Linked DNA regions of Elephas maximus indicus. The protein of the gene in region 2 purifies or fractionates together with the protein of the main gene of each other region. This does not show direct contact. Links are inferred from orthologs where the notes say so. Each region holds a gene or a part of one and is shown on either strand. Other genes may lie near its edges. The genes, in order: NMT1 and ACBD6.

Region 1 (3,918 bases), on a different chromosome or scaffold from region 2:
GGTCAGCCACTTGACACCTGCCATTCATTCATCCAGGAAACACTCAATAATGCCCACTAAATGTGAAGCATCTCAAGGCCACAATCCCTTTTCTCAGGCACCTTACAACTGGGTGAAGTAGGGACCCAACACGTTATACAAAGTTATCAAATATGTTATTTAATTGGAGCCCTGGTGGTGCAGTGGTTAAAGTGCTTGGCTGCTAACCAAAAGGTCAGTCATTCGAACTCCTTAGCTGCTCCATGGGAGAAAGCCATGGCAGTCTGCTTCCATAAAGGTTAATGCCTTGGAAACCCTATGGGGCAGTTCTGCCCAGTCCAATAGGGTTGCTGTGAGTCAGAATCAACTGGATGGCAGTGGGTTATTTAATTACTGTTCTGATAAAAGCTATGAAAAATACAGTATGTGATAAAAGCAGGGAGGCAGCTAGGGGAAGGGGATGGGGAAGATTTGAAGGAAGAGCAGGATGCAAAGCCAGAGGGTTGCATTCCAGATGTTATCTCATTTAATCCCCACAAGTCTAGGTTAAGTAACTTTCCCAAGGTCACACATCAAGTGTCAGAATGAGACTTTGAACCCATGTATGAATGACTCCAAAGTCCATGCTTTTCCCACCATGTCACGCTGCTTCTTCCCCAAACCTCCTCTGACAATTAATTGAAAAGTGTTGATTCTACCTCAGATTCTATTATCTAAGTGCCAGAATCGGACTCTCTCCTCCAGGCTGGGTCCTCTGTTTTTCACAGACCTCTAGATTTTGGATGCTAATAAACTTAACTCAACCAGACCATAAACATACAAGCCCAATTCCTACTCACATGGACCCTATAGGACAGAGCAGAACTGCCCCATAGTATTTCCAAGGCTGCAAATCTTTTTGGAAGTTGACTGCCACATCTTTCTCCTGTGGAGGGACTGGTGGGTTCAAACCGACTACCTTTTGGCTAGCAGCTGAATGCTTTAACCACTGCCCCACCAGGGCTCCTTACCCAAGCCACAAGCATGTACAAAAACAACAACAAAAACATCTCCAAAGTTTTTTTTTTTAGGCTGCCACTTAGTTGTACCATGAACACAAAACTTTCTGCCAGACAGTTTTGCAAAGTGATTCATAGCATGTAGGGAACAAAACCTACTGAAGAATTATAGACACAGATCACAGCAATGGCTTAAGCAGAGAAAACTCAAAGCACACTACGCAAAGAACAATGAAAAAGTCATATTTTCACTTCTGAAATGACTTTCACATTCAATAACTCTCGTCTCTGACTCTAACCTCTACCTAGGAAAGCTGCACTTTCCCTTCTTCCTGTTCCTACTTCCTCTTTCTTAGCTCTTCTAAGGAATCTCAAACTTCAAAACAAGGCTTTTATTACATTAGAACTGTTGTGAGTTACAGCAACAGAACACAGTCTTATAAACCTAAATTTGGCAAGCTACCTTTCCCTCTATGTTCTTTGTGTGAGTTTTATGCTCTTGGAAGAACATAAAAGCTATAAAGATTCATCACAACAAGCAGACTATAAACTACTTAAGTAATCCTTCACTCTCCAGTCCCCACTAGGTAGCAGAATTAAGAAAAAAAAGAAAGTTTCCAAAAACCTCAACCTTCTTCTCTGGGACTACCATTAGCACTGCAAATGACAAGCTGGCTATGAAAAATCAGACTACCACAGACTCAGAATTATACAGCCAAAACAGTGTCTCACGACTAATAATATATATGTGAATATAGTAGATTAGGTAGTGGTTAAGAACTATGGCTGCTAACCAAGAGGTCGGCAGTTAGAATCCACCAGGTGCTCCCTGGAAACCGATGGGGGCAGTTCTACTCTGTCCTATAGGGTCGCTATGAGTCGGAATTGACTCAACAGCAACGGGTTTGGTTTGGGTTTTTTGGTATAGGGTGCCAGTCCCCATAACAATGTGAAGAAAGAAGAATGATAGGCTGTGGCTTAAAAGAACTCAATACTCAAAAGCCTGATGCATTTCTTCTTCCCAAAGAAGAAATGCAGTTACTAGTAAGCAAGACTCTAAAGTATAAGATGCAGTATTAAATCCACAGTTTCCAAACTGTCCGAGAAGCAACATCACTCAATTTCTCGAAGCTTGAGGCTACTTCGCAAAGTTAATAGAGCAAGGATGTGGGAAGACCTAATTACATTGTTCAGGAAACATGAATTATTTGGAGCAACGGACACCGTATAACTCAAAACATTATCATACAGTAATTACCTAGGATTTTTAAGGCCAGTATATATTTTAGGATTCTCTAGTAGTAATATTTTACAATATAATTACGGTTTGTATAGCTTGATGGATTTCCTCATTGAAGGGGAACTAGAGGAAATGTTTTATTATTCGTTTATTGCTAATCAGTCTGTTCATACAGTACCTCTACAGGTAACGTTCCCTTTGAACTGTACTGTCATTGGATTGCCCCGGGTTGTGCCATCAAAAACCATCGTCCAAATTGTTCTTTTCCTCAGACGCACCTCAAGCACACGAGTGGAACATCACACAGAAGAACTTTTATATAATGGAAGTATTGAATGTCTCCGGCCCTCGATATACTGAACACCCACCTTTGGTGAATGACAAAAACGGCAACCAATCGCCAGGCAAGATCCCAATCCCTTAGCCAATAAGAATACAGGGGTGGGGTTAGACTAAGCTCCCGGTTACTTCCCCGCACCCCAAAAACCCAGGTTGTGGGGAGACTGGACGGGAACTGAACTCCGAGGATCTCGTTACCCCCGGTTGTAGCTGTTGTCCTCCTCGTTCTCGCAATCGCTGCAGTGTTCATGGCCGTTTCCGTTCCCTTCCATCATTTGCGGCGGCGGAGGTGCCGGCGGCTTCACTGCTGTCTCACTCTCGTCCGCCATCTTGAGCTGCGAGAGCCGAGCTCCGCGCCGCGCTACATGCGGAGTTCCTATTGGACGAGAGAAACTTGCGTTATCTTCTGGGTTTTGTAGTTTTTTTGCGGATGGATGGCCCGCAACTAGGTGCGGCTTATTCCCTGAAAACGGAAACGAGTGGACTACAGTACCCAGAAATCATGGGGGGCGGTGTCCTCTATATTGGGCGGGGCAGCAATACCCGGAAGCCCTAGGTGCTCGGCCGCGCTTTAGGGGAGAGAAGGGCCGGGGTGACCGCTTGGCATGCTAGGAATTGTAGTTCGATGGTAGTTTAGGGTTCCAGGTGTGGAGGCTTCAAAATCCAAGGTTTGACCTCAGCCTGCCCTTGCTATTGCCTAGGCCACAGGTAAGCCGTTATTGGCTGCCGTTAAGGACCGTTACCATTCCCGGGTAAGTGAGAGGGCCAGCGGCCGGTGGATGCGACCCGTCCGGAGCTCGCATGGTTCGGGCCTTGGAGGGGACTTTCCTGCAAGAAGTCCGGTTGGCCCCTGTCCGCTTTCCTCCCTCGGCACACTTGGCAATCTCTGGTCGTTGGTAGTTCAAGGCCTCGCGAGGCAGGAGACCTGACTGCTCAGCCGGGCCTCGTCGCTTCTTGTCCTTCACGTGCTGATCTCCACTCAGCCTTTCTGCACACATTTTCCCTTTCTTTCTCCAAAACAGCACTCCACAACTACTCTTTACTGAGCACGTGTATGCCAGGCACTGTGGTAAGGCTTTTCATACATTCTCTCATTTTATCCTCTCAACAAGCCTAGAATGCGGATGATATTATTATTTCTCTTTTTCACAGATGAAGAAATGAGGCCCAGAGAGATTGGTCACTTGCACACAGTCACAGAGCTAATACGTGGCGAAGTCAGTATACAAATGGGGATTTATCTGCCCCTAGGCCTTCTGAATTCTTTACCACCACAAAAGTTCCAGTGTCTGATATGCACATCTACCCAAGGAAATCTGTTATTAGAAGGTAATTGCAATTTTTTAATTTATTTGTAGCCTT
Region 2 (3,918 bases):
AGGTTCGTATCTCCGCTTGTTTGTATCATCTTCCTGCCTGACCACCTTACCTCATTCATTCAGCCTACAAAACAGGGTGCTATCTGGAATTGAAAATGTTTTAAAGAAATGGTTTTATGAGAAATTCTGATCCACTGTGCAGGCATTATATTGGACTTACAACTTCGTTATTCTATTAAAGATGCTATTGTTAAAAATGAAATATTTATAACAGACTGATGAAAACTGTAACCCAGCATCATGCCTAAGCAAGCACAATCTGATTCTCCAGTAATGAAGAATTTTATTTTCGGATACAGAATATCTCCAAACACCCTGAAATCAAGTTCTGGAAATGGTGAAGATCGCTCTTCCTTCAGACTGTGGGGATGAAGTGAGTATACCTGAGACAGAATGGTTATAAGCTGACAGGTTATTGTGGTTCACTGGTGACTCAGAAATCAGGCATTTAATAATGATGATGCTAATATCAATAAATATACATTCTATAAAGAATAAAGAACTTCTCTAAGGAATTTGGAGAAAATTAGTCTTGTATTGCTCAGAGAATCGTCCATCAGTCACACATGTGCCACAGTGCTCAGTAAATACGTGTTACATAATCAAAGGTTTCAGTCTAATGTTGTTAGAAAACAGTAAATGACTGAAGGGTAAATAAATATCCAGACCTTTTGCAAAAAACAACCTCCAAAGCCAGTTTTGGGGGCAATTTTCATTCAACACTGTGATTTATACCATTTGTACCTACAGCTATATCTCTCAGGCCACATTAACTGATATTCAGAATAATCATCACCAGTCTTCAAAATAAAGTCCATCTCTATTCAGTATATTCAGTTTAAGAACACAGGGAAAATGTATAATTATATCTTTTAGAATGATTTCCATCAACAAAAGTTAAAATACAAGAGACCAAATAAAGGTTAAAAATATATATATTTTAATAAAATGGGCTATTATCCAGCACTCCCCCCAAACAGCCGGAGTTTACCTGAACTGTTATTAAACTCTTGCACTGATTTGCTATTTGTTCACATCTAGACCCTCCAAGTACTCTGTAAGCCTCTGGAGGGCAAGTAGTGCCAAGCTTTTGCTTCTGCATTGCATTCCCTGTAGGCATAATACTTGGTTTGCAGATAAAGATGCCAAACAAATATTTGTTAATTTATAATGCAATTATTTTTCCTTCCATCACCTAACCAGTTATTCTTTGACTGATAAATTAAACATGTCTTATATGAATTACTCATTCATTTACCCATACATATTTCCAGGTAAAGTTCAGCACCTTAGACAGAGGAGATATAATCTAGTTCTAATTTATTTGTATGACCCTGGGCAAGTTACCTACCCTCTTTGGGCTCTGGTTACTTTTTCTATAAAAGAAGGGGATTATCTGATCTGGTCTTTACTAGATCTAAACTTTTTATGATTGTATCTAACAGAAGAAACATTCAGCCAAAACCTAAGTCTAAGGAAGTTAGGATTAAAAATAATAATAATAAATAACAATAATAAAAGTAGTATTTTGTTTTTGTATTGTACAATTCTATTTATTACAATCATGTCATTCTCCTGGATTGCAAAGATTTTTATTAACATTACCATATGTATTTCCATCTAACCCTTTGGCAATAGCGACTGATAAATCTTATTTTATCACCCTCATTTTGTAAAGGTTAAGGCTCCTGGAAGCGTATGTGCAAGGTCACTGAGCAAGTCGGAGAAGACAGAAAAACTGTCAGTGTCCAACCAAATATCACTCCCAGGAGAGTACACTGGGCCTTCCCATGACCAGAATGATGCTAATCCCCAGCAGATGACTAAAACACAAAACAAACACACATAAAAACCCAAAACACACACACACAGAAACTCCATTACACCTACCCATTAACCATGCAGGGTGTTACCGGTTTTTGGAGGAAAGAGAAGGCCCCCTTGTCTCTCTCCCACAGCCACCCCTTCCCTGCGACTTTACCTGCTTGTATCTGGCATACAGGTAGAGGAGCTGCTCCCTGCTGGCCACCTGAATCAGGCCTTGGAGGTGCGCTGCAGCCTTCTCGAACAGCTCTGTCAGGCTCCCGGATGCCTCGGTCTCGGGGCTCTGGAGGGATCCACCGACATCACCGGAGTCGTCCCCCGAGCTCAGCTCCCCGCCGAGGCCGCCCATGGTGGCCCCCGTGGGCAGGAATGGCGAGGCCATGTCACCTTGCTCGGTCCGTCCTCTACGTCGGGTCTGTCCTCCTCAGGACGGGTGTACCGCCAGCTCGGGGGCCTCGGGGACCAGCCTCGCTCCTCAGCCCGAGCCCGAGGCGGACCCAAGCTCACCTGCTCCGCGCTCCCTCACGGAACTCTGCCTCGTCCCACCTCCACACCTGGGCGCGCACGACAGCCGCTGCTACGCTCCGCAGCTCCCTCCCGGCTGATCCGGCCTCCCCGCCTTCCCTCCGGCCAGCGGAGCGCTCAGGCTCGCAGCAGGTCCCTCAACGGCGCAGAAGGCGGGACGCAGCGGAGCTCCCAGGTACCGGAGCCCAGGCAGCGCGCGGCGGCAGGACAGGCCGGCGGAGGGGCGGGCGGAGGCGGGGCAGCCTGAGCGCTGAGCTCGCGGCCGGGCACGTGCCCGGGGCTGCGCGCGGCGACGTGCGGCGCGCTACTGGTTTGGCCCTGCTCAGCGCTGGTAGGGGAAGCGGGGCGGGCCTACGGTGGACGTCTTCCCCTGCAGAGAACTCGGGGGACCTCGCTGGGGGAACGTTGCTGGACACAGGGTCTTCGGCGGTTGGGGCGTTCGTTAATCGTTTTGTTGAAATTCGTAGTCACAGACTCCGGAACCCGTCCTCGGAATGGGTCGTCGGTGCCGGGGGCGTGGGAGAAGGAGGCCATCTATTCGGTAGTGTAGCGGTCTGAGTAGAGTCGCGGGAAACAGAAAGTGAGAACCAAGGTTCCGCTTGTGCCCGCCTCTCCACCGCTGTGGCCAGCACGCCCCAAACGGGCGCGGATCCCTGCGCGCACATGTGGTGCTGCTTAAGGGTTTTCCTGTGTTTTGAATGTATGGGATTGGTTTGCGTGTCTTACTTTCCACACCTGCCGAATCCTTCAATTCTCAGAGCTCTAAAATAAGCTTAACTGGGATCCCTTCCCTTGGCACCAGTCTCTTCCGAACTCAGTCTTCGTAGCTGTGCTTTGTAAACAGTATGAAGTGAGACCAGAAAAATACGACATAATTCTGTCCTAAAGAAACTTTTAAAAAATGCAAAAACTATGGCATTAATAATAATGGTTAACATTTACTGAGTGTTTCATTATGTCCTAAGTGGTGGTGTAAAAAAAGAAAAAAAGGTACTGTATTCACTTAGTACTCAAAACACTCTAATAAGCATCATAAGAATGGTAGAAAGTGTTATAAAGAATGGTTATTGCTCATTCTGTGAAAAAAAACTTGTTGCCGTTGAGGCGGTTCTGACCCATAGCGACCCTATAGGACAGAGTAGAACTGCCCCATAGGGTTTCCTACGGGATTTGAGCTGTCGATCTGTTGGTTAGAAGCCTGAGCTCTTAACCACTGAGCCACCAGAGCCTCGTTGACCATTTAGGGTTAGACTTTAGACAGGTGAACGAAGATAAGGACAGGACGAGGGAACAGAGTGAAAGAAGGCAGGAAGGTGAGACAGCTTGGATCAGGATTAAACAAACATTCCTTGAGTGCCCAGAAAGTGCCACTGTTATTCCCTGCCCTCAAGACACTCAGTCCAGTTAAGGAGTGGCTGATAAAATGAACACACTTCTGCAATCAAATAGTGATAATAATAATAACGACGTATTGGGTCTCTTACCGTTTAAGGGACTCAATCCTTACTACATAAGATAGGTACTGTAATTTCTATTTTACAAACAGGGAATAGAGTAGTTAAGTAACCT

Evidence for each region.
Region 1: the proteins of ACBD6 (region 2) and NMT1 purify together in Homo sapiens (co-immunoprecipitation; 3 studies listed by BioGRID and IntAct, with this or other methods). This does not show direct contact. The link is inferred for Elephas maximus indicus from reciprocal best matches to the Homo sapiens genes ACBD6 and NMT1.

The regions. Positions count from the first base shown.
Region 1 is NC_064837.1:51,465,771-51,469,688, reverse strand, and holds the start of NMT1 (glycylpeptide N-tetradecanoyltransferase 1), read right to left. Parts: upstream 2,924-3,918; 5' UTR 2,886-2,923; coding exon 2,755-2,885; intron 1-2,754.
Region 2 is NC_064842.1:43,554,428-43,558,345, forward strand, and holds the start of ACBD6 (acyl-CoA-binding domain-containing protein 6), read right to left. Parts: upstream 2,913-3,918; 5' UTR 2,207-2,912; coding exon 1,982-2,206; intron 1-1,981. UniProt on the Homo sapiens protein: Binds long-chain acyl-coenzyme A molecules with a strong preference for unsaturated C18:1-CoA, lower affinity for unsaturated C20:4-CoA, and very weak affinity for saturated C16:0-CoA. Does not bind fatty acids. Plays a role in protein N-myristoylation.